Linked DNA regions of Arabidopsis thaliana. The protein of the gene in region 1 interacts with the protein of each later gene in a pairwise test. Each region holds a gene or a part of one and is shown on either strand. Other genes may lie near its edges. The genes, in order: AT5G65925 and ATB' DELTA.

Evidence for each region.
Region 2: the proteins of AT5G65925 (region 1) and ATB' DELTA interact in a two-hybrid assay, tested with the Arabidopsis thaliana proteins (one large-scale study listed by BioGRID).

Annotation. Positions count from the first base shown.
Region 1 is NC_003076.8:26,362,345-26,377,938, reverse strand, and holds AT5G65925 (uncharacterized protein), read right to left. Parts: upstream 8,895-15,594; 5' UTR 8,818-8,894; coding exon 8,365-8,817; 3' UTR 8,085-8,364; downstream 1-8,084. Other genes in the region: CHY1 (beta-hydroxyisobutyryl-CoA hydrolase 1), read left to right, coding at 3-124, 359-419, 517-615, 682-783, 860-901, 978-1,109; ZWI (kinesin-like calmodulin-binding protein (ZWICHEL)), read left to right, coding at 1,545-1,684, 1,775-2,003, 2,080-2,646, 2,732-2,831, 2,915-3,096, 3,174-3,289, 3,402-3,504, 3,625-3,777 and 13 more; AT5G65920 (ARM repeat superfamily protein), read left to right, coding at 12,282-13,616; AT5G65910 (BSD domain-containing protein), read left to right, coding at 14,598-15,126, 15,284-15,471.
Region 2 is NC_003074.8:9,506,700-9,522,892, forward strand, and holds ATB' DELTA (serine/threonine protein phosphatase 2A 55 kDa regulatory subunit B prime delta), read left to right. Parts: upstream 1-10,253; 5' UTR 10,254-11,041; coding exon 11,042-12,169; intron 12,170-12,255; coding exon 12,256-12,561; 3' UTR 12,562-12,864; downstream 12,865-16,193. Other genes in the region: AT3G25990 (Homeodomain-like superfamily protein), read right to left, coding at 1-4; AT3G26000 (Ribonuclease inhibitor), read right to left, coding at 343-822, 962-1,843; AT3G26010 (Galactose oxidase/kelch repeat superfamily protein), read left to right, coding at 5,202-6,446; AT3G26020 (Protein phosphatase 2A regulatory B subunit family protein), read left to right, coding at 7,664-8,599, 8,687-8,890, 9,023-9,055, 9,267-9,377, 9,581-9,886; AT3G26040 (HXXXD-type acyl-transferase family protein), read left to right, coding at 13,042-14,370; AT3G26050 (TPX2 (targeting protein for Xklp2) protein family), read left to right, coding at 15,208-15,279, 15,425-15,838, 15,911-16,193. UniProt on the Arabidopsis thaliana protein: The B regulatory subunit may modulate substrate selectivity and catalytic activity, and may also direct the localization of the catalytic enzyme to a particular subcellular compartment.

The DNA.
Region 1 (15,594 bases):
AGAGGTTGACTGCATTAGAAGCAGATCTTTGCAGAATTAATTCAAATGATCCAACTTTTGCCTCAACAATTCTCGATGCATACACCCAGCATCCGCGCCTGAAACAGCAGAGTGCTTACCGCAGGCAAGTCTATATGATTTTTATCTCTTTTACTCTTTCTACTAGTATGGTTTTACCTGATTACATTTTCTCGGTTATTGACCATGATTATAACACATTTTTTCTATAATTTCAATTTCGTATTGCTGTCAGGTTTTCAATCGCTCTTTACAGAACTCATTTCTCATCTGATCTTTAATTGAAAATTTATAAAAGTGCAGAGGACAGTTATTTTTTATCTCCCCGTTTGTTGCGCAGGTTAGATGTTATTGATAGGTGTTTCTCAAGGAGAACAGTCGAAGAAATTATATCTGCACTTGTAAGCTTTTCATTTATATATAGAGATGTTGACTTGCGATCCTGAGTTGACTGATTTACCTTTGACAACGCACTCTACCATCATATGTGTTGCTTAGGAGAGAGAGGCCACTCAAGAAGCAGATGGTTGGATCTCAGCTACCATTCAAGCATTGAAGAAGGGTTCACCAGCAAGCCTTAAAATCTCTCTTAGATCGGTTAGTTCCCAGAATGTGCATCACAGGCAATGTTGACAAAGAGCTGACTGTGAGTATATATTTCAGATAAGGGAAGGGCGATTGCAGGGGGTGGGGCAGTGTCTTATCCGCGAGTATAGAATGGTGTGTCATGTGATGAAGGGAGAAATCAGCAAAGATTTTGTGGAGGTTTTGCAAGCTTTTTCCATCTGAAACCGTCTTTGTTGTAGACCGTAGTTACAACAGCGTGTCTTTACTTATGCAGGGGTGCAGAGCCATATTGGTAGACAAAGATAAGAACCCAAAGGTTTAACAAGTCTCTCCATTTGTTATTTGTGGTTGGTAATATGTGACATTGTTGATAACAATATCTGAAATTATAGTGGGAGCCAAGGCGACTGGAGGACATGAAGGATAGCATGGTGGAGCAGTACTTCGAGAGAGTGGAACGGGAGGATGATCTAAAGCTTCCGCCAAGGAATAACTTGCCTGCTTTAGGGATCGCAAAGCTGTGAAGTGGAGAAGGTGATGGAGCACTATTGTTTACGTCTGTGGGAAAGAAAAAAGAAAATAAATGTAACAACACTTGTGTTGAATAGGACTTGCATACATTACATAAATCATTATTGTATTTGAGAATTGACACCAAAGCAGCAGAGCAGAATTGTGTTAAGATTTGTTAATGGTGTTGGAGGCACAACCATGGCAAACGGACGTGGAAGCACGTCTATAGTCATTGTTCATTTATTTGATTGAGATTCCTCCTTGGTCTCATCTTCTGAAAACGAAAAATAATTAGAAAATCAGGTGAATCGTGAAGTATTGAATGAGAAGAGGCAATTAAAAATCTCCCGTGACTCTCGTCTCCCCATCTCTCTCTCTCCCTCTGCCCAAATTTCTGGGGCAAATTTGTTCATCAGATCTACTACAATCTCTCTTTTTCTTCGGGTATGGAGGGCCAACGAGGCAGTAATTCTTCGTTGAGCTCTGGCAATGGCACCGAAGTCGCCACCGACGTTTCTTCTTGCTTCTATGTTCCCAATCCCTCTGGAACCGATTTCGATGCCGAGTCGTCTTCTCTTCCTCCTCTGTAAGTCTTCTTTGAATTTTTAAAAACATTCACTCTCTTGCTGCTGTCTCTGTTGATCCTTCTTCTTTGAAAATTTGAAAACATTCTTAGTCTCTCGCTCTGTCACAGCTCCCCAGCTCCTCAAGTGGCATTGTCAATTCCTGCGGAGCTTGCCGCCGCCATTCCCCTCATCGATCGCTTCCAGGTTGAAGCTTTTCTGCGGCTAATGCAGAAACAAATCCAGTCTGCTGGGAAGCGTGGCTTCTTCTATTCCAAAAAGTCCTCTGGCTCCAATGTCCGCGAGCGCTTCACATTTGAGGATATGCTTTGCTTTCAAAAGGTTTTTCTTTCCCCCCCTTTCTTCCCCATTGACAATCCATTGACTGAATATGTCTCTCTCCCCTTCCTTCCTTCAGGATCCAATCCCCACATCTCTCCTCAAGATTAACAGCGATCTCGTCAGCCGTGCTACCAAGTTGTTTCATCTCATCTTAAAATATATGGGTGTTGATTCATCTGATCGATCTACGCCTCCCAGTTTAGATGAACGCATTGACCTCGTTGGAAAGCTCTTCAAAAAAACTTTGAAGCGTGTTGAACTCAGGGACGAACTTTTTGCCCAAATCTCCAAACAGACTAGACATAATCCTGACAGGCAATACTTGATCAAAGCTTGGGAATTGATGTACTTATGTGCCTCCTCTATGCCTCCTAGCAAAGATATCGGTGGATATCTATCTGAGTATATTCATAATGTCGCACACGATGCAACTATTGAACCGGATGCTCAGGTTCTTGCTGTTAACACTTTGAAAGCTTTAAAGCGCTCTATCAAAGCTGGTCCTAGGCACACCACACCTGGTCGTGAAGAAATTGAAGCCCTTTTGACCGGTAGAAAGCTCACAACCATTGTCTTCTTTCTCGATGAAACTTTTGAAGAAATTTCATATGACATGGCTACCACAGTGTCTGATGCTGTTGAGGTATCTTCTTGCTTTCTTTTTTCATAATTTACCGCTGATCATATTCTTGTCCCTTTTTCTCTCACTGCATTGACATCTGTTTCAGGAGCTAGCTGGAACAATTAAACTATCAGCTTTCTCTAGCTTTAGTTTGTTTGAATGTCGTAAAGTTGTTTCAAGTTCTAAATCATCTGATCCCGGAAATGGTATGCTTTCATATGACTGGCTTCGTCATATATTGTGAAGTAATACAACATTATCGATCATTTTTCTATCTGTGCACTTGCAGAGGAATATATAGGATTGGATGATAACAAGTATATTGGAGATCTCCTCGCAGAATTTAAAGCTATTAAAGATCGAAATAAAGGAGAGATACTACACTGCAAACTGGTATTTAAAAAAAAATTATTCCGAGAGTCTGATGAAGCTGTAACAGATCTGATGTTTGTGCAACTTTCGTATGTTCAAGTGAGCATTTTCTTCATTGGTGACATTTATTTCCACACAAAAGGCTTGCCTTTCGTTGCTGACACACATATATGCAGCTGCAACATGACTATTTGCTAGGAAACTATCCTGTTGGGAGGGACGATGCTGCACAGCTTTGTGCCTTGCAAATTCTTGTTGGGATTGGGTTTGTCAATAGTCCAGAGTCATGCATGTTAGTTTTCTTAAGCTCCGCCATTGACTTTATTTTAGTTGTCCGATACTTTATTTTTCCAATTTTCCTCCCTTAACAATATCATTTCCTTTCTCAATGTATCACATATCAGTGATTGGACATCACTTCTTGAGCGGTTTTTGCCAAGACAAATAGCAATAACCCGAGCAAAGCGTGAATGGGAATTGGATATCCTTGCTCGCTACCGTTCAATGGTAGGAATAGTTCTATGCATTTTGATTGTCTTCCCCTTTCTAGATACCTTTGGCAAATAAAAACCCATTGAAGTGATGGCATGGTAAAATGATATTTCGTATGTGTATGTGGGCATGTAGGAGAACGTGACCAAAGATGATGCAAGACAACAATTTCTACGGATACTGAAGGCACTGCCATACGGGAATTCAGTTTTTTTTAGCGTACGCAAGATAGATGATCCGATCGGTCTTTTACCTGGGCGAATCATTTTGGGTATCAACAAACGTGGGGTTAGTCTCAATATAAATGTTATACATTATGACTTTAAAAAAACTGTTATTGTTGTTTGGAATTCAAATCTATGTTGTTGGATTTGAATTTGTTGTTTGCTTTCTTGTAGGTTCACTTTTTTCGACCGGTTCCTAAAGAATATCTGCACTCTGCTGAACTACGTGACATCATGCAATTTGGCAGCAGTAACACTGCTGTCTTTTTCAAAATGAGAGTCGCTGGTGTTCTTCACATATTTCAGTTCGAGACAAAACAGGTTTAAACATCACTATTTGTGGATCATTATATTATGAAGCAATTCCTTATGAGATATTCAATTTGGGTAACTTGTATGTTTGTAGGGAGAAGAAATTTGTGTTGCTTTGCAAACACATATAAATGATGTCATGTTGCGTCGTTACTCCAAAGCTCGATCTGCTGCCAATAGCTTGGTTAATGGAGATATATCTTGTAGTTCTAAGCCGCAAAATTTTGAAGTGTATGAAAAACGTTTGCAAGATTTGTCTAAGGCTTATGAAGAGTCCCAAAAGAAGATTGAGAAGGTACACATTCTAACAAATTTCTTATTTATTCTTCAATGTAAAATTGAATATAATAGAGGGAGGCTGATCTTTGTTTAAATACATGAAATAACTTATTGTAGTTGGATTTTTTCATGGTTTTTATGCTTGGTAGTCTTGAGATATTTCAGTATATATCACCCTCCTATCTTATGTTATTGTATGTAGAATGTTATACCATGACCTCTTTTGTTTTAGAGTGGCATGCTGATGAACTATTCGTATGTTTTATGTTGTTGTATAGTTGATGGATGAACAACAAGAGAAAAATCAGCAAGAAGTTACTCTGCGTGAAGAGTTAGAAGCTATACACAATGGTTTGGAGCTTGAAAGGAGAAAATTGTTGGAGGTTACTTTAGACCGAGATAAACTTAGGTCATTGTGTGACGAGAAGGGAACAACTATTCAAGTTAGTTATAACCTAACTTTTGTCTTTCTTTTGATGCTTGGTTGAAGTTATTTAATGATTTATTCTATATATGCTATAGTCCTTGATGTCTGAACTGCGAGGAATGGAAGCAAGGTTGGCAAAGTCGGGCAACACAAAATCAAGTAAAGAGACAAAATCAGAATTAGCCGAAATGAATAATCAGGTGAATATTATGTGTTTAAATCTAATTCATTGTAATCATTGAGTTGTTGTTTTTTGTTTCCAATTCTGCTTTCCTTTGACAATGAATTTTAAGTCACAGATATTATACAAGATCCAAAAGGAGTTAGAAGTTCGAAATAAGGAATTGCATGTCGCAGTTGATAATTCAAAGAGGTTGTTGAGTGAAAACAAGATATTGGAGCAAAATCTCAATATTGAAAAGAAGAAAAAAGAGGAGGTGAATTCTATGTATTAGATTTATTGAAGATTTCAAATTGAGAAGTATCAAATACTTGCGTATTGTTGACATCTCATTATTTCAGGTTGAAATTCATCAAAAGAGATATGAACAAGAAAAAAAGGTGTTAAAGCTTCGAGTTTCTGAACTTGAAAATAAGCTTGAAGTACTTGCTCAAGACTTGGATAGTGCTGAGTCTACGATTGAAAGTAAGAATTCTGACATGCTGCTGTTGCAAAATAACTTGAAAGAACTTGAGGAGTTAAGAGAAATGAAAGAGGTAATGGTACTCTTTTGTCTTCTTCATTATTTAATTTTGTTTCTGTTTGAATGATGATAATGTATTTTCGCGATTCAAAATTGAAGTAGAGGGATGTGTTTACATTCCAATTTCATTTTCTTAGGACATTGACAGAAAAAATGAGCAAACAGCTGCCATTTTGAAAATGCAAGGAGCCCAACTTGCTGAGCTAGAAATACTTTATAAGGAAGAACAAGTTTTAAGGAAAAGATACTATAATACCATAGAAGGTAACATAATGCTCAAGTATGTACAATGATGTTCATTGCTTTTAAAAAAGAATTTTACTAACATTTTTATTTGATTGTAGATATGAAAGGGAAGATTAGAGTTTATTGTCGAATAAGACCTCTAAATGAAAAAGAGAGTTCAGAGAGGGAAAAACAAATGCTGACAACTGTGGATGAGTTTACTGTTGAACATCCATGGAAAGACGACAAAAGAAAGCAACACATATATGATCGCGTATTTGACATGCGTGCTAGTCAAGATGATATCTTTGAAGACACAAAGGTATTATTGATATGTAACTGTGTTCATTTACCTTTCATCCTTTGTTATTTTCTTGTGGTTACTAACATCGTTTTCCTTTTAACAGTATTTGGTACAGTCGGCTGTAGATGGGTATAACGTTTGCATCTTTGCATATGGTCAAACTGGTTCTGGAAAAACTTTCACTATATATGGGCATGAGAGCAATCCTGGACTCACACCTCGAGCTACAAAGGAACTGTTCAACATATTAAAGCGAGATAGCAAGAGATTTTCATTTTCTCTAAAGGTAATTTGTTATCCTAATAGATGATGTGATAAAAGATTATGACATCAACTGACTACAAAAAGTTATGCAGGCATATATGGTGGAACTTTATCAAGACACACTTGTAGACCTTTTGTTACCAAAAAGTGCAAGACGCTTGAAACTAGAGATTAAAAAAGATTCAAAGGTATTGTGAGATATATCTATTTTAACTAGGTTATAACTAGATTGTAGACACGTAAGTTTGATCTTATGCATAAAATATTTTCTCAGGGAATGGTCTTTGTAGAGAATGTGACAACTATTCCTATATCAACTTTGGAGGAACTGCGAATGATTCTTGAACGGGGATCGGAACGACGACATGTTTCTGGAACAAATATGAATGAAGAAAGCTCAAGATCTCACCTCATATTATCAGTTGTTATTGAAAGTATTGATCTTCAAACCCAGTCTGCTGCGAGGGGCAAGGTGACAAAATTCACTATGTTTTTCTTTATTGACTCATTATCATTTTTCACAGGATTTAGTAGCATTTAGGGATTTTAAGGAAATAGGAGTTTCTTTAGATTTTCATGCTTAGTCTACCGAAGAAAAATATAGTAACATTAATCTTGTTTAAGAGAGATATTATTTTACAGCTCAAATCTTTGGTCTGGTACAAAATGTTAAACCTTTATGTACACAATCCATATTATTAGTCAATGATATGCCCTCCATTGTTAAACCCATATCACCTGATCATGGTGGTATCTTCTACAATATTCTGAATTTTTGTTTGTTATTTGCAGCTGAGTTTTGTGGATCTTGCTGGTTCTGAGAGAGTTAAAAAGTCGGGCTCAGCTGGTTGTCAACTCAAAGAAGCTCAAAGTATCAACAAATCACTTTCTGCATTAGGTGATGTTATTGGTGCTTTATCTTCTGGCAACCAGCATATTCCTTATAGGAATCACAAGCTAACGATGTTGATGAGCGATTCATTGGGCGGCAATGCCAAGACGTTAATGTTTGTTAATGTGTCTCCAGCCGAATCAAATTTGGACGAGACGTACAATTCTCTTCTGTAAGTCATGAGTTCCCATATATATATAACATAAATCAAATATGCTTAGTGTAAAAATGGATAATCCATATTGTTTTTTTTCCTCCTTTGATTCCAGATATGCATCGAGAGTGAGAACGATCGTGAATGATCCCAGCAAACATATATCATCCAAAGAGATGGTGCGATTGAAGAAGTTGGTAGCATACTGGAAAGAGCAAGCCGGTAAAAAAGGTGAGGAAGAAGACTTGGTGGATATTGAGGAAGATCGTACACGAAAAGATGAGGCAGATAGTTGAAGAAAGCTGACATGAAATTCGTCTAGGTGAAATTGAGACTATAGTATCACTGGTTTTCACCATTCTTTTTGTAGGAAGTTCCTGCTTTATAGTAGAGTTTCTATCGAAGAGTAGTCCTATATGTCTCAAACTTTCTCTCTTTTGATGAGATCTTCATTACAAGAAATGAAAAAAAAAAAAAAAAATTCGTAGATATTATATGAAGCTGGTGAGAACCATACAAACATATAAAGATAACCCCATAATGTCAAAAGTTATGGTATACGGAGACTAAAAATTCAAACTTTTAATTTAAGGGAAAACTAGACTATAAATTCCATTTTGTGGATTGGAGAAATAACAAAAATTCACCAGTAAAATTTAAGGATTTACACGCAAGACAAATGTAATCCATACGTTGACATTGGGTGATGTAAAGTTGAAGGACTACTCTAATGCCTAGAAGAAGGAAAAAAAAAAAAAATCTCTTTTTGTTTGACCTTTTTTTTTTTGAATAAAACTTTTTTTCATTCCATGATTTCTCATCTGTCTCGCATTAATACTAATTCAGTGTTCGTTGAAAACGTAACTCAAAAATGTCGAAATTGACACAATGAAGGACTACTTTCACTATGTCTGCAATCTAGACTGTGTATTCCGTACTGAAATTTATATACAAGCAAGAAAGTCTATAAGCACACTTGAACAATGCACACAAAATGAATTTCTTTCAGCTGTTTAGCGTTTTTGTATCTAACCAGAAATGGAAGAAGAAAGAAACGAAAATGAGTATGGTCATCTTCATTTTCTTTCTTTTATTGTTGATGAGTAGTGAAAACTCCACCGATTTTTCTTTTTTTGCTATAATCCTCTTCTTCAAACTGATCACAAACCTTCTCTTCATCAATCCTTCCCATAACCATACAACTATAATTTCTCCGGAGATCCATCTGTCGTTTCATAGCCGTCGTCTCCACCGTGATTTCTCCGCTGCTGGCGCCACGTGTGACAAACCGGCAACGTTCACGTGTTGTCGTGGCCGAATTTAGGGTGAAGCTACGAGGGAGAACGGTGGTTGGTGCTTCGCAGATTTGGAAATTACCGGGTGGTAAGCCAAAAGCGCCGGAGCCACCACCACCGCGGATGAAACCGGCGGAGCATGACGTCATGCTACGTATGTAAGCGTCACGTGCCATGATCAAGAAACGAACCGGAGATTTCACCAACCTTGCTAAATTGCTTTCTTTCTTCATTTCTTTAGCTTTCATGATTTAAAGTGGAATAAAAAAAAGTTGATATAAGAGATTACAGAGAGAGTGAGAGAGAGAGGAGATGCGACTAGAACAGGAAGATGCCGTGTATGATAGACTTCGTTTTAAATGCATTTCAGAAATAATAATTATTAGGGTATGTATATATAAATGTATCTAGTTGGATGTTTACGGTTTGGTGATACTTATCTTATTAAAAATTCACAAAATATTAATCTATAGTTTAATTTACTTTGGTTAAGTCAAAATAAGGTTGAAGTTGTAATCTTAAGGGCCGGCAGTTTTAATTAGTATTAATTTTTTAGAAATTTCTTGAAGTATTTATCCATTGAAGCTTAAACTTGCTTACAAGCTCAATAGTCAAATAACAATTGCCAAAGTACACGTCTATATGTCTTTAAACACGTTATCAAAGCGTACAACAACAAAAATATCAAAGTCGAAATTATTATTATAATTAATATGGATTGAGATATGGCACCAAATTTCTTGCATTAAAAATACTGAAATAATGATTTAGGGGGAGTGAGAGATTCATTGGAAGGAAAAGAGAGTATATAAGAAATTGGTGGTTACAGTTGACTTGATTTACCAGTTTCACTATCAAAATTTAAAACCAATTTGTCAAATAAGAAAGATTTTGCTTCAACTTGATTTGTTTCTATAGAGATATTTGACAATGGATTCAATATGTTGTTGGCAACTTGAAATGAAAGCAATAAATTCATCGCTGACATATCTATCTGCACTTTTATAATTTCCAATTATAACTTGCCCCACATAATAAAGTTTTCGAAAGTCAATTTGTAACCTGTATGTCTAGGACGAGATATATTAAATTTTTGATTTGCATCTTTAACAACGACAATAAAAATTCTCGATTTTGCATCTTTATATTTTTGCATAGCTTATTGGGCTTCTTAAATCCTATCATTCACGAAGGCCGTGTACAGCATTTTGATGTACCATTTCGAAGCCCTCACAGCCCAACAACACAAACATTATTATATTTTCTGATAATCGTAGGCATGGTAAAATTTTCAGTTTTAGACCCAATAATATCGTGAATCGAGTTCTATGTTATCCAATTATCATGATGATACTATATGAATTCGCAAACGAATATATCCCGAAAAATAAATCAATTCATCAAGTTAAATTATGATCTGCTGAAAAATTAATCATAATTTGTATCACTAACCTAAAAATAGCGAAACAACATGTTAAATAATCTACGAGTTTAGGACTCACGTGACAGTCTATGTAGCTTAGAAACAAAATACAAAGCGCAATGTGATGTAATTATTCAAATACGACAATCTCAATAACTCATTTCTAAGTTAAATAATCAAACAAATTTAGCAAATTGAAAATTATGCAGGGCAACTCTAGGCACAACAATTATATAAATGTCCTGATATGTGTTCTGTTCATCAAACAATATTTAGAACAACCCTAACCAGCCTGTAGTCATGGTCACTAGGTCCCTTCTCTAGCACATACAAACAGCCATTTATTAGTTAAAAATACTAATTGTATTATCGTCACAATCAATATGAAAATTCACATGGTTTTAGTCGTTATTACAAACACGTCACATCGACTTAAAACTCTTGCCGGTCCGCTTTAAGTTTACTAGTTTGACCGGGAAACTCATAACATCGACAACATTGAGATCATTCATTGGCAATGAATTCATTGCCTATCAATAGCCATTGATAACATACTCTATAAATTAAAAATACTAAGAATTCAAAAATAAACTAGCAATTAATTGTAGAACTAAAACTAGTTGAGTGAATCATACTTTTGTTAATAACACATAATTAAGATTGAATCCGTGTGATATTTGAAAACTTGGTTGGAATATCAAAATTCTGCATTTCTGGCAGAGTACTCAACTCCAACAAAAACAACACATGGGTCTCAGATCTCTCTGCTGACACTCCCATCAATTTTCGCTTATTAAAATTTATCTTCATTTAGTTAAATTTGTAGTATTAATAAAAGTTAACAACATTCATTAATACCGAAGATTAGGAACGAAAAGAGAGACGTGGAAGGATATAAGTGGTGACAGAGCAGTCAAAGACAACCGAGACACGATCGAGGCGTACAGTCAAAGCAACACACACTGTCATATGGTCAAACGTCTAGCTGGATCTTTTGCATGTAGTGGACCCCATACTTCTTTATTTACACTTTTTCTTTTTTCTTTTTCGTGCCAATCTAGGAAATAAACTTACTAAAAATTGAAAAATATGTTCTTACAGAGAAAAAATTGTTGTTATTCTTCTAATTAAGTGGGAGTAATACTACGGATTTGTTTAAGCAAATATGTTCCATTTCAATAGTATGAAACGAGAAAGAGTAATGCTTTTGTTTTTCCATGTATTTACTCATTACTGCAATTATTCTTCATAGTTTCTAGAATATATAGACTGTAAAGAAAAGTGTTTATAAAAAACGAGATTTTTAGATTTTTGTTTGAAAAAATAGAGAATTGTTTATAGCAATGATAATGATGATTCAAATAAAAGGTTAATGAAGTAATTAGGCCTTGAAATGAACGTCGCACGTGACCCTAACCTGTCCTCGTGGGTATTTGTAGTTTACTTAGCAGCTTTTTTTACTTACGTGCGGGATTTTCTTTGCTCATCGTCTAAAAGACCATAATACCCCCTTCATCTATTTTTCTTCTTAATTTACTGAGATAATACTTTATTGTTTTTGACAACACATCGATTTCAGTAGCAAAAATTAAAGGGAAGACCCAAGAGAGTGCTCTTTTAAGCAACATGATATTTCAATGGAACACAAAATCAATATGAAGATTTATTATTTGGTCTAAAAATATTTAAAAAAAAAACACCTCAATTTTTTTTTTAGCTAAAGATGGGTACATATGGGTCAAGCCAAGGACAAAATGGGTATTTAACCTCAGGATCTGAGCTTGCACGTGTGGCGCATGGGTCGAGAGATGAGTTGATAACCGGCTATAGCCTGTAAAAATCTCGGTCAACATAATCTGTGTTTTTTTTTGGGTTTTTGTCTGCTTTTTAGTTTTTTCCCAGCAAAAAGAGTGAAAAAGAGAAAATCTTTGGTCCAAACCAAAAGAAACGTTCCCTTTTTTTAATTTGTCTCTTTGCTTTAATAATTTCCTTCTCACCGAAACACACACCACAACCAATTCTCTTCTCCTTCTTCCTCTTTCACAAATTCGTCATCTGGGTATTCTTAAATTTCTCACAAATTCATTTACTTTTTTGTTCTGTTCCGAGATTTCAAGGTTCACTATCGATTCTGAAACTCTTGGAACAATCCAGATTCTTGGTTAGCAGGTGGGGAAGCATTAATCATGTATTTATGATACACTGCTCCATTATTATTACGAGAGAGTTGAAAGTTTCCTTTTTGACTCGTTTTTAAAGGCAAGGAAGAAGAAAGACTTTGTTTTTAAAATGCCAATGTTTCAGCCTTCTAAGAACGGTGGGTTTGATGGGCATATCTTAGATCTACACTCGGCGGTTAAAGACGGTGTTCTTGGCGGCGGAGATGGGAAATTTCTGGTGGTTGTTACCGATGAGAAGAAGAAATTGGATTTGAAGGAGATGATTTCTGAGCTGGAATTACCTGAAATACCCTCTGTTTTCATCTGTCCTATCTCTCTAGAGCCGATGCAAGATCCAGTGACCTTGTGTACTGGTCAAACCTACGAGAGGTCCAACATTCTCAAATGGTTCAATATAGGGCATTGTACTTGCCCAACGACGATGCAAGAGCTTTGGGATGATTTGGTCACTCCTAACAAGACTCTTCACCAATTGATCTACACTTGGTTTTCACAGAAGTATGTTTTGATGAAGAAACGATCTGAAGATGTGCAAGGACGTGCTATTGAGATTCTGGGTACGTTGAGAAAGGCTAAAGGGAAAGCAAAGGTTCATGCTTTAAGCGAGCTTAAGCAAGTTGTGATGGCTCACGCTATTGCTAAGAAGACTGTTGTTGATGAAGGTGGAGTCTTTGTGATCTCTTCTCTTTTAAGTCCTTTTACTTCTCACGCTGTTGGATCTGAGGCTATAGCTATTCTTGTTAATCTTGAGCTTGACTCTGATTCCAAAGCTGGATTGATGCAACCAGCTAGGGTCTCGTTGATGGTTGATATGTTGAATGATGGTTCGATTGAAACTAAGATCAATTGTGCTAGATTGATTGGAAGGTTGGTGGAGGAGAAAGGTTTTAGAGCAGAGCTTGTTTCTAGTCATAGTTTGCTTGTTGGATTAATGAGATTGGTTAAAGATAGGAGACGAAGAAACGGCGTTTCGCCTGCGTTAACGCTGCTCAAATCGGTTTCTGTTCATAAACAAGTTAGGAACTTGTTGGTTAGGATTGGTGCAGTTCCTCAATTGGTTGATGTTTTGCCATGTTTGGATGTGGAGTGTTTAGAGTCAGCTCTTTTCGTGTTGGATTCGTTATGTTTAGAAAGCGAAGGCAGAATTGCTTTGAAAGATTCGGTTAACACGATTCCGCATACCGTTAGGTTACTGATGAAGGTATCAGAGAAATGCACAAACTATGCGATATCGATTCTTTGGTCAGTTTGCAAATTAGCTTCTGAAGAATGTTCATCTCTTGCTGTTGAAGTTGGTTTGGCTGCAAAGCTTTTGCTTGTGATACAAAGTGGATGTGATCCAGCTTTGAAGCAACGTTCAGCTGAGCTATTGAAGTTATGTAGTCTACATTATTCAGACTCAATGTTTATCTCCAAATGTAAACTCACAAGAACTATCCAATAAAAGACTGATCAAGTTTTCACCTTTCGGGTCAAAATCACACAACGGATCTGCCCCATCTTGTTGATGTATATAGAAATGAAGAAGCTCAAGGAGTATGAGAGTAAGAAACGAGTTTCGATGTGTTGAATTCTATTTTGCAATGTTATTTGAATAATAATAGTTAAGTAGAAGTAAACTGTATAAATCTTTTTGTTGTGGTTGGTTCATTATTCAGTAGAAGAATAGATTGAAGAAAGGAATCATTTTTTTGGCCTCTTGTAAGTTACTAGCTGTTTGTGAGTCATAATAATTGGAGAAATTATTGATCTATGAATCGTTTTATTTGACACTCTTATAACCCTTAGTGATTCTTGATAGAACAGTAGGATTAGAAAACAGATATGGGTGGGTTTCAGATTTGTGGAGGGGAATAAAAGTCTTATTTTTTGAACATGCATTGGTCTGATTTGTATGCACTGTGTAAATGAATGAACAATTGAAAAGAAAGGATGATTTGACTTATGAATCGTTTCAACAGTTCACTGTTTGTTTATCTCTGTTTTTTATTTAATTGGCTATGAGAATCTGAACATATCTCTTGGAAACATTGTATCAGTGAGTGTGATGTCACTGATGTGAGAGCTCTTGTCTGGAAATAAAATCTAAACACAGTTACCAAATCTGGAAAACAATTTGTCTCAAGTTAGAAAAAATAAAATATAAATAATTTCCCGAATAGGAGCTATCTTAAGATGGGCCTTAGTTGAACTATATGGGCTATTATCCAGGTCCAGTAATATTTTGACAGTCAATACAAAATGTCGTCTTTGGCTCTAAATTGGATTAAGCTATTAAGTAAGATAAAGATTACAATATTTAAATTAGATATTGATTTAGACGGAGATTTCATTATCTATCTCTCAAGTTTGATTTGCTTCTGCTGTAACAAAAAGATCACGATCGCAACTTGTGTGTATGTGTGTGTGAGAGAGAGATTCAGATATGGCTTGGTTAGCTAGATCCATAGCGAACTCACTCAAGCTCGATGAGGAAGATGAAGATGATGATAAGCATCTGAATCAACAGCCGTCGGAATCTGTATCGGATTCACAGTCTCCACGAGGCGTTAAGGAAGACATTAGCGAACTTACCAAGACCTTGAGAACCCAATTTTGGGGTGTAGCTTCGTTCCTCTCGCAACCTTCTTCATCTCCGGATCTTCAGGAGAGAAATCAAACTCCCGATCATCCGGAGGAAGATGAGGATCTAATCGCTGGGATTAAGAACGATTTCGCTGAGATTGGTGGGAGATTCAGGACTGGGATTTCGAAACTATCTGGGAACTTACCTGTGTCTGAGTTCACAAAGATCGCTTCGAATTTCTTACAATTGAGTTCAGAAGATGTGGATCCGAAAGATTACGACGTAATCGGAGTTACAGAGGAATTAGTTGCGTTTGTGAAGGATCTTGCGATGCATCCTGAGACTTGGTTGGATTTTCCTTTACCTGATGACGACGATAGCTTTGATGGTAAGTTTTAGTTTCAGATCTTTCCTTATATATCTGAAATTGTTTCTGTGAATAGTGAAGTTCAAGTTTGATTTTGTTTTCAGTTTATATGCTTTCATGATTGGGGTATTGGGTGTTTCAGTTATTCTCAATTGTCTGTTTTTAAATCAATTTTCAGACTTTGAATTGGCCGATGCTCAATACGAGCACGCTTTAGCTGTAGAAAGGCTAGCACCGAGCTTGGCTTCTTTGAGGATTGAGCTTTGCCCTGAATATATGACTGAGAATTGCTTCTGGAGGATTTACTTTGTTCTTGTGCATCCTAAACTCAGTAAAGACCATGCCTTGCTTCTCTCCACTCCTCAGGTAAGTTTGGATTCTCAACTCCATTGCTTACAAATGTCTACCTATTTCCTTGTTTTCAAGTTTATGCCTTTCACATTGTATATAGTTGTAACCCTATGCCTGATGCTAATCATACTCTTCTAG
Region 2 (16,193 bases), on another chromosome or scaffold:
ACATGTTTTCTCCAAGGAAGAAGGAGAGATAGCAGAAGATGTCAAAGATTAATATAAAAGGCGCGTGAGTCTTTAATTATTTGTCAAAGCTTATCTTAAATTTACATAAATGATCTCTCTTGTTTGATTATTAGATGAAGAACAAGAACAACCCAAAGATGCAAACTTTTAATAGATCTCCAATAATAAAGATAAGAGTGTTCAACAAATATGAAATGGAACATATTTTTATTGTTTAAAAAAAAAAAGGTTCTAGAGATAGTTGAAGATCATCTCCATTGAACCGTGGAGACTGAGTCATTCAATCATAGAGAAGAGAAAGGCTCAGATGGAATTTTATACCTAGAGAGTTAACTTAGGGGTCGGCTTCGAACAAACAGCACACAAAAGCTCTAAACAAAACATTTCTTCGTATTCAGTGTCAATGATGCACCGACCACAATGATAACACCTCTGTATGCAAAGAGAACAAGCACGGCATTCCTCAGAACCTTTCTTTTTCCCTTTACAATCTTCTGCTGGACAGTCATACACAAGCTTAAAATTTTGACACTTTGGGCACATCTCAATATCTAGTGCCCGGTCATCATCACAGGACACACAAGCTTCTCCTCTATGGTAAAAACGCGGCTTCTGAATAGTCTGCTTGACTTTATTGTCAATGTTCAACAAGTCAATCAGTTCATCGTAGTGATCTTTAGTCACTCCAAAGAGGCCACGAAGTTGTAAATGCTTCACTTGAAGCTTTCCCGCAGACTTCAGATCCCTCAAGACGCTCAAAATACCATCGATAGTTATCCTTGTGCATCCAGGCACACCAATCTGCCAACCACAAAACAACATTCGGTTTTAATAGGATCCCACAAATCAATTCAATTACCAGGCACTTCTATAAAAACTTACAATATTACTTATTAGTAATCCAAATACGCTTTAAAGTAAATTAAGGAAAGAAGCTCACCTTGACTACTTGTCGGTTGCGCGCCACCACCCGCTTAAGACAATCATCAGTAATTCTACAGCAATCTACGATCCTCAAACACTGCATAGTACCCTGAGCCCTCTCAGTTAAATGCAGTAGAGCCTCTTCCGTGATCTTCTCATTCAACGGTCGACAAATGTGGATATGCTTCCAAAGTAACGTGTCATCACAAACAGTAGTATGCAAAGACTTGCAAACCATACTAACTGAAAGAAGATCCTTCCCTCGCAAGTGATAAAGACAAAAACCAATCGCTGGATGAACATACGCATCCTCTTCTCCATTATTGCAGCGATCACTACTTCCTACAACTTCACCATTCCTCGCATTCTCATGGCTCAATACCTCATCAACACTACTAGCAGATATGAAAGCACCATGACAAGATCCATCACCATCTAATGCCCCTCCAAACCCATTATTTTCCCCACTACTTTCAGGGAATTTACATGTGGAAAACAGAGACCCATCAAACGCCCCACCAAACAATGACTCTGATCCATAACTGTAACCACTACTCTGAAACTGCATTGCATTGTTCCAAAAGAAACTCAATCCAGCAAACAGCTGCTGACGGTTTCCATCACCAATCCAAATGTCATCTCTTCTTCTTCTTCCATATTGGTTATTATAATCATCCTCCAAATCCTCAAGCCATCCAGTAATAGCCGTGAAAGTATTGTTGATATCCATACCAAACGGATCAGATGGCAAAACATCAAGTATATCAACAGAAGAAGCATCTCCTCCAGTATTCTTCCTTCCATTATCGAAACTTGAACACCAATTCCCATTGGCTATCATCATTGGTTCCTCAGATAGATGAGAAGAAAAAGGTCTATGTGAAAAATTTAAAGCCATTTCTATTAATCTCTATATACACTTTAAACCTAACAAAACCAAAAAAATCCCTCTTTTGTACACAATCCCTAGAAAAACTCAAAACCCCCTAAAGAAGATAGATCAGATCCGAAGATAAACTAAAAAGTTATTTTTTTTTTTGGATAATCGAAAGATGAATTAATAGATCTATGGAGAGAAAAAGGAAACTCTTGATTTCAGATGGCAACAAAAAAATACTAGGCACCAGAAATTTTGAGAGCTTCCTTGGAACCCTAAAAAACCCTAGAAAAGAAATTCGAAATTGAGACGTATTAACAACCGAATTTGGGTAACACAAAAAGAATGAATTGAATAAATTTGATTTTTCCTTTTTTTTTTTGTTTTCCTTTTCTTTTTTCTCGAACAAAAACTAAACTAGGGTTTTCAGAAATTACGAAACCTAAATCCTAAACATTATCAAAGAAGAAGAAAGATACGAATTTGATTGAATTGAAGAAATTGAATCACCAAAGAAGAAGAAGAACAACGCGATCAACGGGAAAGCCAAACCGAACCCTCGCCGCGAAATTAAAACAAGATCTCTTTTTTTGTGTGGGGGAAATCGAATTGTAATCAAACGAAGTTTTTGATTCAATCACTTTGGGAATTCAAAGAAGAGAGAAAGAGAAAGAGAGAACGGGTTGGTGAATTTCGTCGACCGAGTCAAGAAGAGAGAAAATAATGGAAACGACGAGAAAATTGTGCGAAAAATCTCAATTTATTTTATTTTTAGGGGTTGAGATTTTACGAGGGAGAGAAAAATAAAAACTATTGGAGACAAAATCAATTAAACAAACTTAAATAATAATAAAAAAGAAAGATAAGATTAGAGTGAAATCGTCAAAATCTTTAAACACGTGTCATTTTTTTTGTTTTTTTTTGTCATTTTTCAGTATGAAGATAAACCAGGAATATATGATTTTTTTTCTTTTCTTTTAACATGGATTAATACCAGAAGTGTTTGAGCTAAATATATTACGATGATATTTATCTATCTGCATATAAAAATAAATGTGATTACAATAACAAAATAAAAATAAATAAAAAGATAAATGTGATTACGATGAATAATTCTACATAAATATTAATTTTACTGTGCATTTCTCTTTGTAACGTTCAGATCTTCAATAGACAGTTTTATATGTATAATAAACTTTAATTATTGTAAAAAACATTATATTTTATTGTTAGTAAAATGTTTGTTTAGTATCTTTTTAGTTTGTTGATTTTAAATAGAATTAATTTTGTCTATTGAAACTACTTTTTTTTTTCTTTCTATTTTTGTTTTGATGTTGGTTTAGATAAATTCATTATTGGGAGATTTTGAAAACTATCTTGTTTTTGAGTTTTCATTTGAAAAATACATCTTTTTCTATTTTAAATAAAAATTGTAATTCTTGATATATAAGATGACAAATTTATCCAGATTTAAAATAAAAGTTGTTTTATTCATAAATTAAAACAAAATTCGAAATTTAGAAAAACAAAATTAAAATAAAATAAATTCGAATTCTTAATTATGTTTTCAACTATTTTTTGAGATAAAAAGTTATTGGTTTTAGATATTATAAAATTTTGAAAAATATTCTAAAGTCTATCACCTAATAAACTTGTTTGCTTATTTTTTTGGACGAAAATTTGTTTAAAATATTTAAGATAAAAATTAAATTTGAATTCATATAAAGTCTATCACTTTATTTATTTTATATATTAAAATTTTATGAAACAATATTTACAAATATTTCTAAAAAGTCTATCACTTGATAAAGTTTAATTTTACTTTTTGGACAACATTTTGTTTAAAAATATTTAAGATAATAATTATCTTTAAAATTATTAGTTACATCAAATTTGTATTTATGATTTTTTTTTTGTTTTAAGTTTTAATTTTTTTTTGTTATTTCCTAATTTTACTGAAGCTGTTTTAGTACTTTATATATTGAAAATTAATTGTTTAAAAAAAGAAATAAAGATAGGGTATTTTTCAAATGAAAACCCAAAAATAGGTCATTTTTCCAAATTTATTCATTAAATATTCAGTGCCATGAGTTTGAGACATATTTATTTGGTAGATTTATATACCTAGAAAGTGGAACAAATAATGTTTTGCTTTAAAAACCACAAAGATTCACAATAAAAGAATATAAATAGATGTGATATAGCAATAAAGATAGTTGTATCTTGTACATAGATAAGCTTTAGTAAACAAAAAAACAAAAAAAAATATCTTGTAGATAGATATCTTAAATACGATCCAATAAACCAAGGCAATATAAAATCTGAAATTATTTTTTTTTGTGAAACAAAAACTGGCATTTTAAAAGCACAAATCAGGTAAGAAATGTGTTCTTAGTTAATGACAACCAGTTATTAAAATCATGTCTAATGGTTTTTAAAAAATAAATAAGAAGGAAAGTGTACCAAATAATATTTGTTAATAAGTTCTATAAAACAACACGTAAAGTTTGATATATACCGTGTTTTAGCAAGGAATACTTCGTAGAAGAATATAAACTTGGAACATAATAATAAAAGATGAACTTAAAACTTCCAAGATTCGTCTCTTCTTTGTGACATATTCCAGAAATAAAAGAAAATAATTGTTCAGTGAACACAACAGAAAACGATTACTTTTTATAAGATATTTATTGGGTCAATAGTTTATAGAATAATAGAAGTCAAGTCATATTACAAAGTGTTGAAAAAAACTTTAAATAGTACAAATACGTCAAATGAAAATGTAACAATTGTTTTTTTTTATCAAACACGTTGAAACATGGTAATATTGGGCCCGTAAAGCCCATAAGGTCTTGAGAAGAGAAGTCGCCCATAATAAGGTTTGGACAAAAAAAATTAAGTCATTGGAGTCGTCGTCTGTCTTTCCCATATTAGGGTCTTCTTCTTCCTTTTACTCCTTTTTTTACGCTTGAAGCTTCTTCTCTTTTCTTCTTTTCTTCTCATTGAAGCTTTCCTTGTTGCAGGATTTAATTTAGGATTCACAATTCCAACACATACAAATTGTTTAAAAAATACAATAAGTCATAAAGTCAGAATACGTTAAACATTGAAAATGTGAAGTATAATATTTGGTTTTCTCTTCTTGTTTTTTCACAAGTTAAGAAGTGTCTGAAAAATAGTCATGGCTTCTTCTCAAAAGGTTTCTGATTGGGCCTTATGAGGTATTGAGAAAAGAGAAGTAGCCCATTAAGGTATTGAGAAAAAGAGAAGTAGCCCATTAGGTCTTGAGCAAAAAAAGAAGTTGAGTCGAGCAAGCAAGAGTCCCTGACTCAGTCCTCTTTTCTCAGCTGTCCAGAAAGTAGAAACCCTAAATTCGAAAATGGAAACACGAAATCGAACCATACATCTCACTGATGCGATATGGACGGAGATTCTAGCGAGGTTACCACTGAGAATCATCGCTAGATTCAAATCGGTAAGCAAAACATGGAAATCAACAATCGAATCAGTCTATTTCCGCCGTCTCTTTGTGTCTGTGCACCGAAAATCCTCAACCTCGTGGTCGCTAATGTGGTACGGACAAAAAGATCTCGTAGGTTTCCATGGATGCGAGACATGGGGTCTTCCAAAGTCTCTATCTTTTTACATCCCATCGTCTCTTTGTATTATCGAGGGTTCCTCCCATGGATTGGTTTTGATTTCAGAAAATGATGATGATTGTTGCTTTGTGGGTAATCCAGTTTTACAACAGTGGATCAAAATCCCTCCACCTCCAGTTCACTCTTCAGTGTTTGGTTTGGTGTCTCGCGTCGACGATGATGGCTTTGTTTTGGGCTTCAAAGTCGTTAAGTTAGCTGAAGTAATAGTGACGAATAACTATGTCTCGTGTTCTTTGAGTGTGTTTGTGTATTCCTCTGAGACTGGGATTTGGACTTGTAAGACTATTCACTGCCCTTATCAAATCACCAACTTTGGTTCTTTCACTTTGGATGGTACCATTTACTTTGACCATCTTAGTGAACCTGGAGTGCTCGTAGCTTATGATTTCTATTCTGAAATCTCCGATCAGTTTTGGGTTATACCTCTCCCGGATCATCCGAATCACGGCTTCAATAGCGACTTCAAAGGTGCTTTGACTACGTCCCAAGGATTTGTCATGTATATCAGAACATTAGCTCAATCTTCGTCTAATGTTTTCAAGGCTTGGAGGTTGAACAATGATTCAACTTGGCAACTTTTGTGGAAAATCGGCCTCCCGTCACTTATCGGTGATTATGTACCTATGGCAATGCATCCATTTGATAGTGACATTGTCCATCTTTGGAGTCAAGATCATCGTCATGTGGTATCATGGAACTTGCGGACTCAGAAGAATAGAATCCTCGGAGCTGAAGATAATGATGAAGATCATAAAGATTGTTACTTGAACCAGCCTGTTTGTGAGGAGTGTATGGATGAGATATGCGGCTGTAAAGCTTCTGTCAGGTTACTACAACTTGTTCTCCCACGGTGGATGGAATCGGTGCCTTGTCCTCCCCAAGTTGAGATGATGAATACAGCTTCGGTAATCTCTTACGTTACTTCAATGCAAGAGACAATGATAAGGAATTGGCTTCATCAATGATTTCAATATCTGCTTTTTTTTCTTTTCTCGTCTTTTGGTTTCTTTCTTCTATCTAGTACCATCTATGTAATGGAAGACAACCATATCCATATCATGCAATATTTGCATCTTCTTATTTTTGTATCAGTTCAATGACATGTTTTGCCATTTCATCTTTCTAAGTTGTTACACAAATTGTCACTTCCTTTGAACAAGAGTTTCTTCAATTGCAGTTTTATTCCAGCCGCACGTAGTTTCTTAAAGATATGTTATTCGATAGCTTTACCATATGTACTAGCAAAACGAACTAAACGACGGCGTACGTAGCGTAAAGTAGTGCCCGCTTCAAAATTTCGTAATCAAAAAACACAAGAAGACTTGGTAGCCCAATCCACATAATTAAATACTATTTTAAAACAAATAAATTAATTAAAAAAATAAAGTAGCAAAAAAGTACGATCGATGAAACTGAGACCGTTGGATCAAACCTATCGAATTATAAAAACTAGATCACGAGAATAATAAAAAGAAAAAGAAAAAAATAAAGCAGAAAATTCATCTCCAAAAAAAAAGAAAGAAAAATTCATACTTCCAAAGGAAAGGGGAAGAAAAACAAAAACAAAAAAATCTCAAGTCAACAAACAACAACGAAGGTCCGAAGAACTTTGAATGTTGTTATCATCATCATCATAATCAGAATCATCAACATCATCGTTGTATTCTTTTCTGGGTATTTTCTCTTGTTGACCTTCTAATTATGCCATCTCCGATTATCGATTTTTGTAGAGCAATCGTATTTTATCGAAGCCCTTGTTTCTGGTTTTAGTCTCTTGTCTGAAATCAATCTCAAAAAGGTTCTGTTTTTTCGGGGAAATGTGCAGCTTTTGATTGTTTCATTTTCCGATTGTTTCAGAAGAACTGGAATCGCCGTAAAGTTCGAATTTTTTTTTGTTAGATTGTACAAAAGGGTGTTGTGATTAAGGAAGAAGAAGAAGAAGAAGATAAAAAGGTTTTTTTTTTGGCTGTTGTTGTAATCTGGGAAAGTTTGGGATTTTGTATCGATCTCAGGTTTGTGATTTGATTCTGTTTCTAAAATTTATTAGGCTGATCTAGGATTTGAGTTTTTTTTTATATGGACTTTGCTTTTTTTCTCAGATGGTGAAAAGACGAAGAAGTGTGATTGTTTTGGGGATATGATTAAAGAACCTGAATTGTTCTGGTGTTGAGAATAAGAAACTATGTGGAAACAGATTCTAAGTAAGCTTCCCAACAAAAAGTCTTCAAAGCACGAACATCGTGGACGTGAACACGGTGGCCATTCTTCTTCATCTTCTCATACTTCAGGTGCCTCTACTTCCAAAAGCACTGATAATGGCGCCGCGAAATCGCATGCTAAGAACGCTTCTCCAGCCGGCAAATCCGCTGCTTCTGACTCGGGTTTTAAAGATGGGAATCTAAAGAGTAGTGGGAACAACAACAACAACAACAACAACGGTGTCTTTACTCCTTATGAAGCATTGCCGAGTTTTAAAGATGTTCCAAACACGGAAAAGCAAAACTTGTTCATTAAAAAGTTGAACTTGTGCCGTGTAGTGTTTGATTTCACGGATCCTACAAAGAACATCAAGGAAAAAGATATTAAGAGGCAGACATTGCTGGAGCTTGTGGATTATGTGAATTCTCCTAATGGAAAGTTTAGCGAAGTCGGTATCCAAGAAGTCGTTCGGATGGTCTCTGCTAACATATTTAGAACGCTAAATCCTCAACCACGGGAAAATAAAGTTATCGATGCCTTAGACCTGGAGGAGGAAGAACCTTCCATGGATCTTGCGTGGCCTCACTTGCAGCTTGTGTATGAGCTTTTCTTGAGGTTTGTTGCTTCGCCTGAAACTGACACCAAGCTGGCTAAGAGATATATAGATCAATCTTTTGTCTTGCGGTTACTGGATTTATTTGATTCCGAGGATCCTAGAGAAAGAGATTGTCTGAAAACCATTCTCCATCGGATCTATGGTAAATTTATGGTACACCGACCTTTCATCAGGAAATCCATTAACAACATCTTCTATAGGTTTGTTTTCGAAACAGAGAAACATAATGGGATTGCTGAGTTTCTAGAAATCTTGGGAAGTATCATCAATGGATTCGCTCTTCCCTTGAAAGACGAGCACAAAGTGTTTCTTGTTCGAGTTTTGATACCTCTCCACAAACCAAAATGCTTGCAAATGTATCATCAACAATTGTCTTATTGTATCACACAGTTTGTGGAAAAGGATTGCAAACTTGCTGATACGGTTATAAGAGGATTGTTGAAATATTGGCCCGTGACAAACAGTTCCAAAGAAGTCATGTTTCTGAACGAGTTGGAGGAAGTACTCGAAGCAACTCAGCCACCAGAATTTCAACGGTGCATGGTACCACTGTTTCGCCAAATAGCTCGATGTTTGAACAGTCTGCATTTTCAGGTACCTGTCATTCTCCATTCTTTCTGAAATAATAGCACCTCACATTTGTTTTTAAACTGGCGAATTTCCCCGTGCTTTGACATTTCCTGAAAAATGCTCTGTTGCTGTTAGTGTTGGGTTTGACATTTGCAGGCCATATCGTTTCGACATACTTTAACTGCATTAGTGTTTCACCTGTTTATGTTAGCCTATTAGATTGTTATATAAAAAGATCAAATGAAAGAGTTGGGTTTGTGGTAATGAAAGTATCTACGTATAGGACTGTTGTATTGTGTTCTGGATAATATCTGATGCAGTTTCTTAGCTAAATAAGGCTTATGGTTACATACTTTAATTGTGTTAGTGTTTCGCCAGTATATCTGTGTTACCTTACCAGCTTATGAGAAGTCGTTATAGCCTACCAGTTATATCAAACGAGCAAATGGAAGAGTTGATTTTGCGGTATGGAAAGTATCAATGTTTAGGACTGTTATATTCAGCTCTAGGTGTTACTCAAGGCAATTTCTAAGCTAAATTGATATAGTAAGGCTATTGTTAAGTAGAAAGTTACAAAAGAAGAAAAAGTATTGCGTTGAAGGGTATCTGTTTTGGCTAAACAGTGACTGCATACGATCTTTCACGGGAAAAGATCAGTCTAGTAGGTTCAGGATCTTTGTTTCAGTCTATTCATGCTCTGTCTGGTTTTCGCAGGTTGCAGAGAGAGCTTTATTCTTATGGAACAACAATCACATTGAGAATCTGATAATGCAAAACCGTAAAGTCATTCTTCCAATTATATTCCCAGCGTTGGAGAGAAACGCACAGAAACATTGGAACCAAGCTGTTCATAGCTTGACACTAAACGTGCGAAAGATATTTCATGACCTTGACCCTGAGTTATTTAAAGAATGCCTCGCAAAGTTCAAGGAAGATGAATCAAAAGCAGCTGAAACCGAAGCAAAACGTGAAGCCACTTGGAAACGTTTGGAAGAACTCGGAGTGCGAAAGGCTTCATAAAGTTAGAGTTGTAGAGAAGAAAGAGAGAGAAAGAGAGCTTCTGTATCTTCTATTGACATGTTGTTCTTCAGATACATACTTGAGAAGAGAAAAGTTTCATATTGGTCTCTTGGTTTGAAGGAAAAAGGAAACTCAAAGATGTAAGATTGTTCCTGTTTTGATTTCCATTATTTTTATTTCTTGTTTCCTCTTAAATCTTCCTGCTTGTTAAAATGGGTTATTTTTGCTACATTGTATGATCATCACTTGTTCCACTTTCTTGAGACTTGTCTTATTCATTCATCTTCTGCTTTCATGATACCTGCAAATATTGCACTTATAGGATTTGGCCTTTTGTATTTTCAGTTGTATCAGAAAAAAAATCGTATCTTTATAAGCAAAAAAACACCTTTTAAAAAAAGTTTTTTTAAGTTTTCAACAGAAACTCAAAGAGAGAAGACCAAATTGTTGGTTTGAGTATTTTGGGTTTGTGGATTTGGTTACGAACTCCATAAGTCTAGGAGGAACTCTGAAAAGATCTTCATGGAGAGATCGGTTTAGTGGTTGGATTTGAATCTTTTAATGGTTATGACTTCAACTAAAAAAACACTGTCGAGAGATGTTGTTTCTTGTCTTGGTCAGTGAAAATTTTCTCTGGTCTTAGGGTCTTCTCTCAGTCACCATCCTCTCTTTCTATCTCTCTCTCTCTTTACTCTCTAATCTTTATCCATTCTCTCTCTTCTTCTCTATGCCAACGAAGCAATAGCTATGAAAAGCTAAACCCTTTCCTTCTTCTTCTTCTTCTTCTTCTTCTTCGATTGTTTAGATTACTTGGGTTTGACCCAAGTTTGCTTCTTTCTATGATTCATCAATCTAGATCTTGCTATCTGGGTCCAGAAACGATTCACGCGCTTCATTCATGATATAAAGTTACTACCTTTTTTTTATTTTACCTTCTGGGTCATGGTTTTGTCTGCTTTTCGTCTTTTGCTTTTGTCTGGATGATTCATAATCTCTCGAGATCTATTATGTTCACAAGAGTTGTTCTTATGCGTGGTGAGATGATCTTAGGAGTGTTTCACTATCTTTCTTCAATTCGGGTTTTTAGTTTCTGAGATCTGTTTTTGAAGAATCTGATCTGAGTTTGAGGAAGTTTGACTAAATAGATCGAAGAAGATGTTTAAGCAGATACTTGGGAAGCTTCCTAAGAAAACTTCTGCTAAGTTTTGGGATAATGGTGAATCCCAAACTCTAGATAACAACAACAATCAAGGAGGAGGTGATGAAGTTTTAAGCCAGAGAACGTCATCAAATGGAGATACTAGTTTGGATTGTGTTTCTTCTTTTGATGTATTGCCAAGGTTGAGAGATGTTTCCATCTCTGAGAAGCAAGAACTGTTTCTTAAGAAGCTTAGACTATGTTGTCTAGTGTTTGATTTTGTAGCTGAGCCTCAACAGAACTTCAAGGAGAAAGAGATCAAAAGGCAAACACTTCTTGAAGTTGTGGATTATGTTATCTCTTCAGGGAATGGCAAGTTCCCTGAATCAGTTATTCAAGAAGCTACCAAGATGATTTCGGCGAATCTCTTTAGTAATCCTCATCGACAATGGAAGAACAAAACTCCTGAGGCATTGGATTTGGAAGAAGAAGAAGGATCTTTGAATCCTTCTTGGCCTCACTTGCAGATTGTTTATGAGTTCCTTTTGAGAATCGTTGCATCTCCCAACACAGACCCCAAGATATCCAAGAAATACATCGATCATACATTCGTTCTCAAGCTATTGGATTTGTTTGATTCTGAAGATCCGAGGGAAAGAGAGTATCTGAAAACGATACTTCACCGCATCTACGGGAGGTTTATGGTTCATCGCCCGTTCATCAGGAAAACTATGAACAACATCTTGTATGATTTTATATTCGAGACAGGGAAACACTCGGGAATCGCCGAGTTTCTTGAAGTTTTAGGATCCATCATCAATGGATTCGCTTTACCACTCAAGGAAGAACACAAGCTCTTTCTTACTCGTGTCTTGATTCCTCTGCACAAGCTGAAATGCTTACCAAATTACCATCAACAGCTTTCTTACTGCGTTATACAGTTTGTTGAGAAAGATTGTAAGCTCGCGGATACCGTTATTAGAGGGATGTTGAAGTACTGGCCTGTTACTAATAGCGCTAAAGAAATCATGTTCTTGAATGAATTGGAGGAGATACTAGAAGCAACTCAATTAACAGAGTTTGAACGGTGTATGGTTCCGCTCTCTCGCCAAATTGCTCAGTGCTTGAGCAGTTCTCACTTTCAGGTACAGTTAAGAGTTTATTAGGTACATTTACCTGATTCTTAGATTCTTGAATTGTTCATAAAATTCAACTGCTTCTGTGTTTTTAGGTAGCGGAACGGGCTTTATACTTATGGAACAACGATCATGTCACTAATTTAGTGAGACAGAACAGTAGAATCATTTTACCTATAGTGTTTCCCGCTTTGGAGAAAAACGGTAGCAGCCATTGGAATCAGGCTGTGAAGAACTTGACAGAGAATGTTCTCAAGGTTTTGTCCGATACAAATCCTGATTTATTCGAAGAATGTTTGCACAAGTTCCAAGAAGATCAGCAAAAAGCAGAAGATACTAAAAAGAAGAATGGAGAAACCTGGAGACAGCTAGAGGAGATTGTTGCTTCAATGGCGAAGTAAGAGTTTTTTCTGCACTTTACGTGATTCAACAAGAAATCGGTTTATTGTTTTGTTTTGTTTCCTTTACGCCTGAAAGGTATATACATTTACTTTGCTTTGCTTGCTTCATTTAAGTATCTGGTTTCGACTTTAAGACTAGTTTAATTCAGTTAAACAGTGTGAGATTTTACCTTTTTCAGTTCTTGATTTGTCTGTATACTTGGTTCATGTAAACATCTTGTTATGAAAACACGAATTTTCTATTGTCTGAAGTCACTTAGTTTATCAGTGAAAGAGATTGCTCTAATATAAAAATTGTTTCTGGAATAATGATTTCGTCCTTTAGTATACAGAGGATCTGTTGGCATTTTCCTGCAAGTATCTTTGGATTTTGTCTGTTAAAAGGTTCTGTTACAACAGGTTTATTCTTCTAACCAAGAAACCGAAGAAAAGCTCTCTGCGATGACTCTTAGTCGGTTTTTCGTCAGGAGGTTTCACCAGATGAGAGTTGATGTTGTCTCCAGAGATATCATCAAACCATCATCTCCAACTCCAAACCACTTAAAGAAGTTTAAACTCTCTCTTTTAGAACAGCTCGGTCCAACGATCTTTGGTCCTATGGTTTTCTTCTATTCAGCTAACAACAGCATCAAACCAACTGAGCAATTGCAGATGCTGAAGAAGTCGTTATCCGAAACTTTAACTCATTTCTACCCTCTCGCTGGACGGCTCAAAGGCAACATAAGTATCGATTGTAATGACTCAGGCGCTGATTTCCTCGAAGCACGAGTCAATTCACCGCTTTCGAATCTCCTACTAGAGCCTTCTTCTGACAGCTTGCAACAACTGATTCCTACATCTGTTGATTCCATAGAGACACGAACCAGACTGCTTCTTGCTCAAGCGAGTTTCTTTGAATGTGGAAGCATGTCTATAGGAGTTTGTATCTCTCATAAACTCGCTGACGCAACTTCTATCGGTTTATTCATGAAGAGCTGGGCTGCAATCTCGTCCCGAGGGTCGATCAAAACCATTGGAGCTCCGGTTTTCGACACGGTTAAGATCTTCCCACCTGGAAACTTCTCTGAGACTTCCCCTGCACCAGTGGTTGAGCCAGAGATCATGATGAATCAGACTCTTTCGAAGAGATTCATATTCGATTCTTCGAGTATTCAAGCTCTGCAAGCGAAAGCTTCAAGCTTTGAAGTGAATCAACCAACAAGAGTCGAAGCTGTTTCAGCTCTTATATGGAAATCTGCAATGAAAGCTACAAGAACAGTTTCAGGAACATCGAAACCGTCAATTCTGGCAAACTCCGTGAGTCTACGCTCACGAGTCTCTCCACCATTTACAAAGAACTCAATAGGGAATCTAGTGAGCTACTTTGCAGCAAAAGCAGAGGAAGGAATAAACCAAACAAAGCTTCAAACTTTGGTTTCGAAAATACGAAAAGCGAAACAGAGGTTTCGAGATATCCATATACCAAAGCTTGTAGGAAACCCAAATGCCACAGAGATCATTTGTAGCTACCAGAAAGAAGCAGGAGATATGATTGCAAGTGGAGATTTCGATTTCTACATATTCTCAAGTGCTTGTCGATTCGGTTTATACGAAACCGATTTCGGTTGGGGAAAACCGGTTTGGGTCGGGTTTCCTTCGGTTAGACAGAAGAACATCGTGACGCTTCTCGACACGAAAGAAGCTGGTGGAATTGAAGCTTGGGTGAATCTGAATGAACAAGAGATGAATCTTTTTGAACAAGATAGAGAATTGCTCCAATTCGCTTCTCTGAATCCTAGTGTGATCCAACCTTTTCTTCATGTTCTCTGATTATAAAAACCGGTTTAGTGAGCTAAACCGGATATATTTGTTGAAAAACTGGTTCTATTTTGACTAGCCGTTGGGAGGCCACTAAAAAGGTTGAAATTAAAATAACGGGCAAAATTTGGTGATGTAATAAATAAATAGTCCTGAAGAATCACCTTTTTATTATATACTAATAAATTCAGAAGTTATTTTTGTAAGTAATCTCATGTTAAATTTAAAAACAAAAAGAATTTTTGTCATATTTTTTTTTTTCATAAAGACAGTTTCATTACTCTCTATTAATATTAATTAAGCACTAAAAATAAAATTTAACTTGGAGCACACTCTCATAACTTAATACTAAAAGTTTAATATTAGTGTTTATTATTATTAACTAATATTTTTAAAAGAGGACAACAAGAATAACCATAATGATAATTGATAGCTTATACGTAATAATAAAATATAGTTCAAAATAATAATAAAATAAACATTCTATAAAATATACGTAATAATTATATACAATTAGATAATAAAAAAACACTAAACATAGTTCAAAACAAAACAAGGAAGATTAGAAAATGTAAATACATTATTTTATTTCTGTAAACAGTAGTATATATATAATAATTAAATGATTCCACAATTAGATGAAACGTTTTCTATAAATGACGTAATAAAAATAAGGGAAGTGGCCGTTGGGGAAATTTAAATCATATGCTTAGAGTTCGGACCTACTTTCAGATTTGCAGCCAAAGAAAAAGAAGCTAACAAAGATTTTTCAGTTTTCAGTTTCTCAGCGAAACCACCAGATTTGGGGATAAAATTAGGGTTTTTCGATCTCCAGAGAAAACAAAAAAAATGGGAGAATCAATTTGTCTTGTGAGATCTTTCTCGCAACCTTCAGAGTTTTCATCGCGTGAAATCAACGAGGTTAGTGCTTAAGATTTCTAAATCTACAATCTTGGATTTAGGGTTTTGATAATAGAGATTGATTTTGCTAGTGAAATTTCTGTGTATAGTGTGTTGTTTGATGAATCTGAAGAGAATTTGAGATTTGGTTTTTGGTTTTTGGCAGGTGGTACCGAATCGAGTGCTTACGGAATCAGTATCGTTTGGTAGATATGCGAATGAAACACTAGCGTGGGCGAGATGGTCAGCTTTTACTCAGAATCGTTACTTGGAAGAGGTTGAGAGGTTTACTAAACCTGGTTCTGTAGCAGAGAAGAAAGCTTTCTTTGAAGCTCATTTCAAGAACCGAGCTTCAGGGAAAGCAGCAACACAGACGAAGAAGATTGAACAAGTAAAGGTTAAAGATAGTGTTGAGATTGTTTGTGATATACCTAAGGATATTCTCGTTGATTCAGAAGTACCACTAGCGGTGAATAGAGAGGTGTCTAGTAATGAGGTGGACTCTGTTGTTCCATCAATTTCTGTAATAGATGAAACTGGTAAAGTGGAGAACTTGAAGTCAGTGGTTGTTCCTGATGAGGTAAATGCATTTCTGTTACATTGCAATTTCCTGTTTTTATTTTTTCTCTCTAAACGTCCATGGTGTTTTCAGGGCAATTCTACTTCTTTGAGCAAAGAAAGACCTCCTAGTTCTTCCGGATCGAAGGTCTCAAGCTCAAAACTGGAATCTTCCGTTGTTATAGAACTGGATCATTCACTTAAGAACACTAAAAAAGAGTCATCCTCGAGTAGTACAAGGTCACTTAGTGCATCGAAGAACCGAAGTAGATCACCTCCTGAGCCCATTCACATGTCAATCAGCTGTGTTTCTTCTAGTAATACCGAGAAAACTATTGTGGGGAGGCCCCAGAACGGTTCTAGGAGTGCAGTGAAAG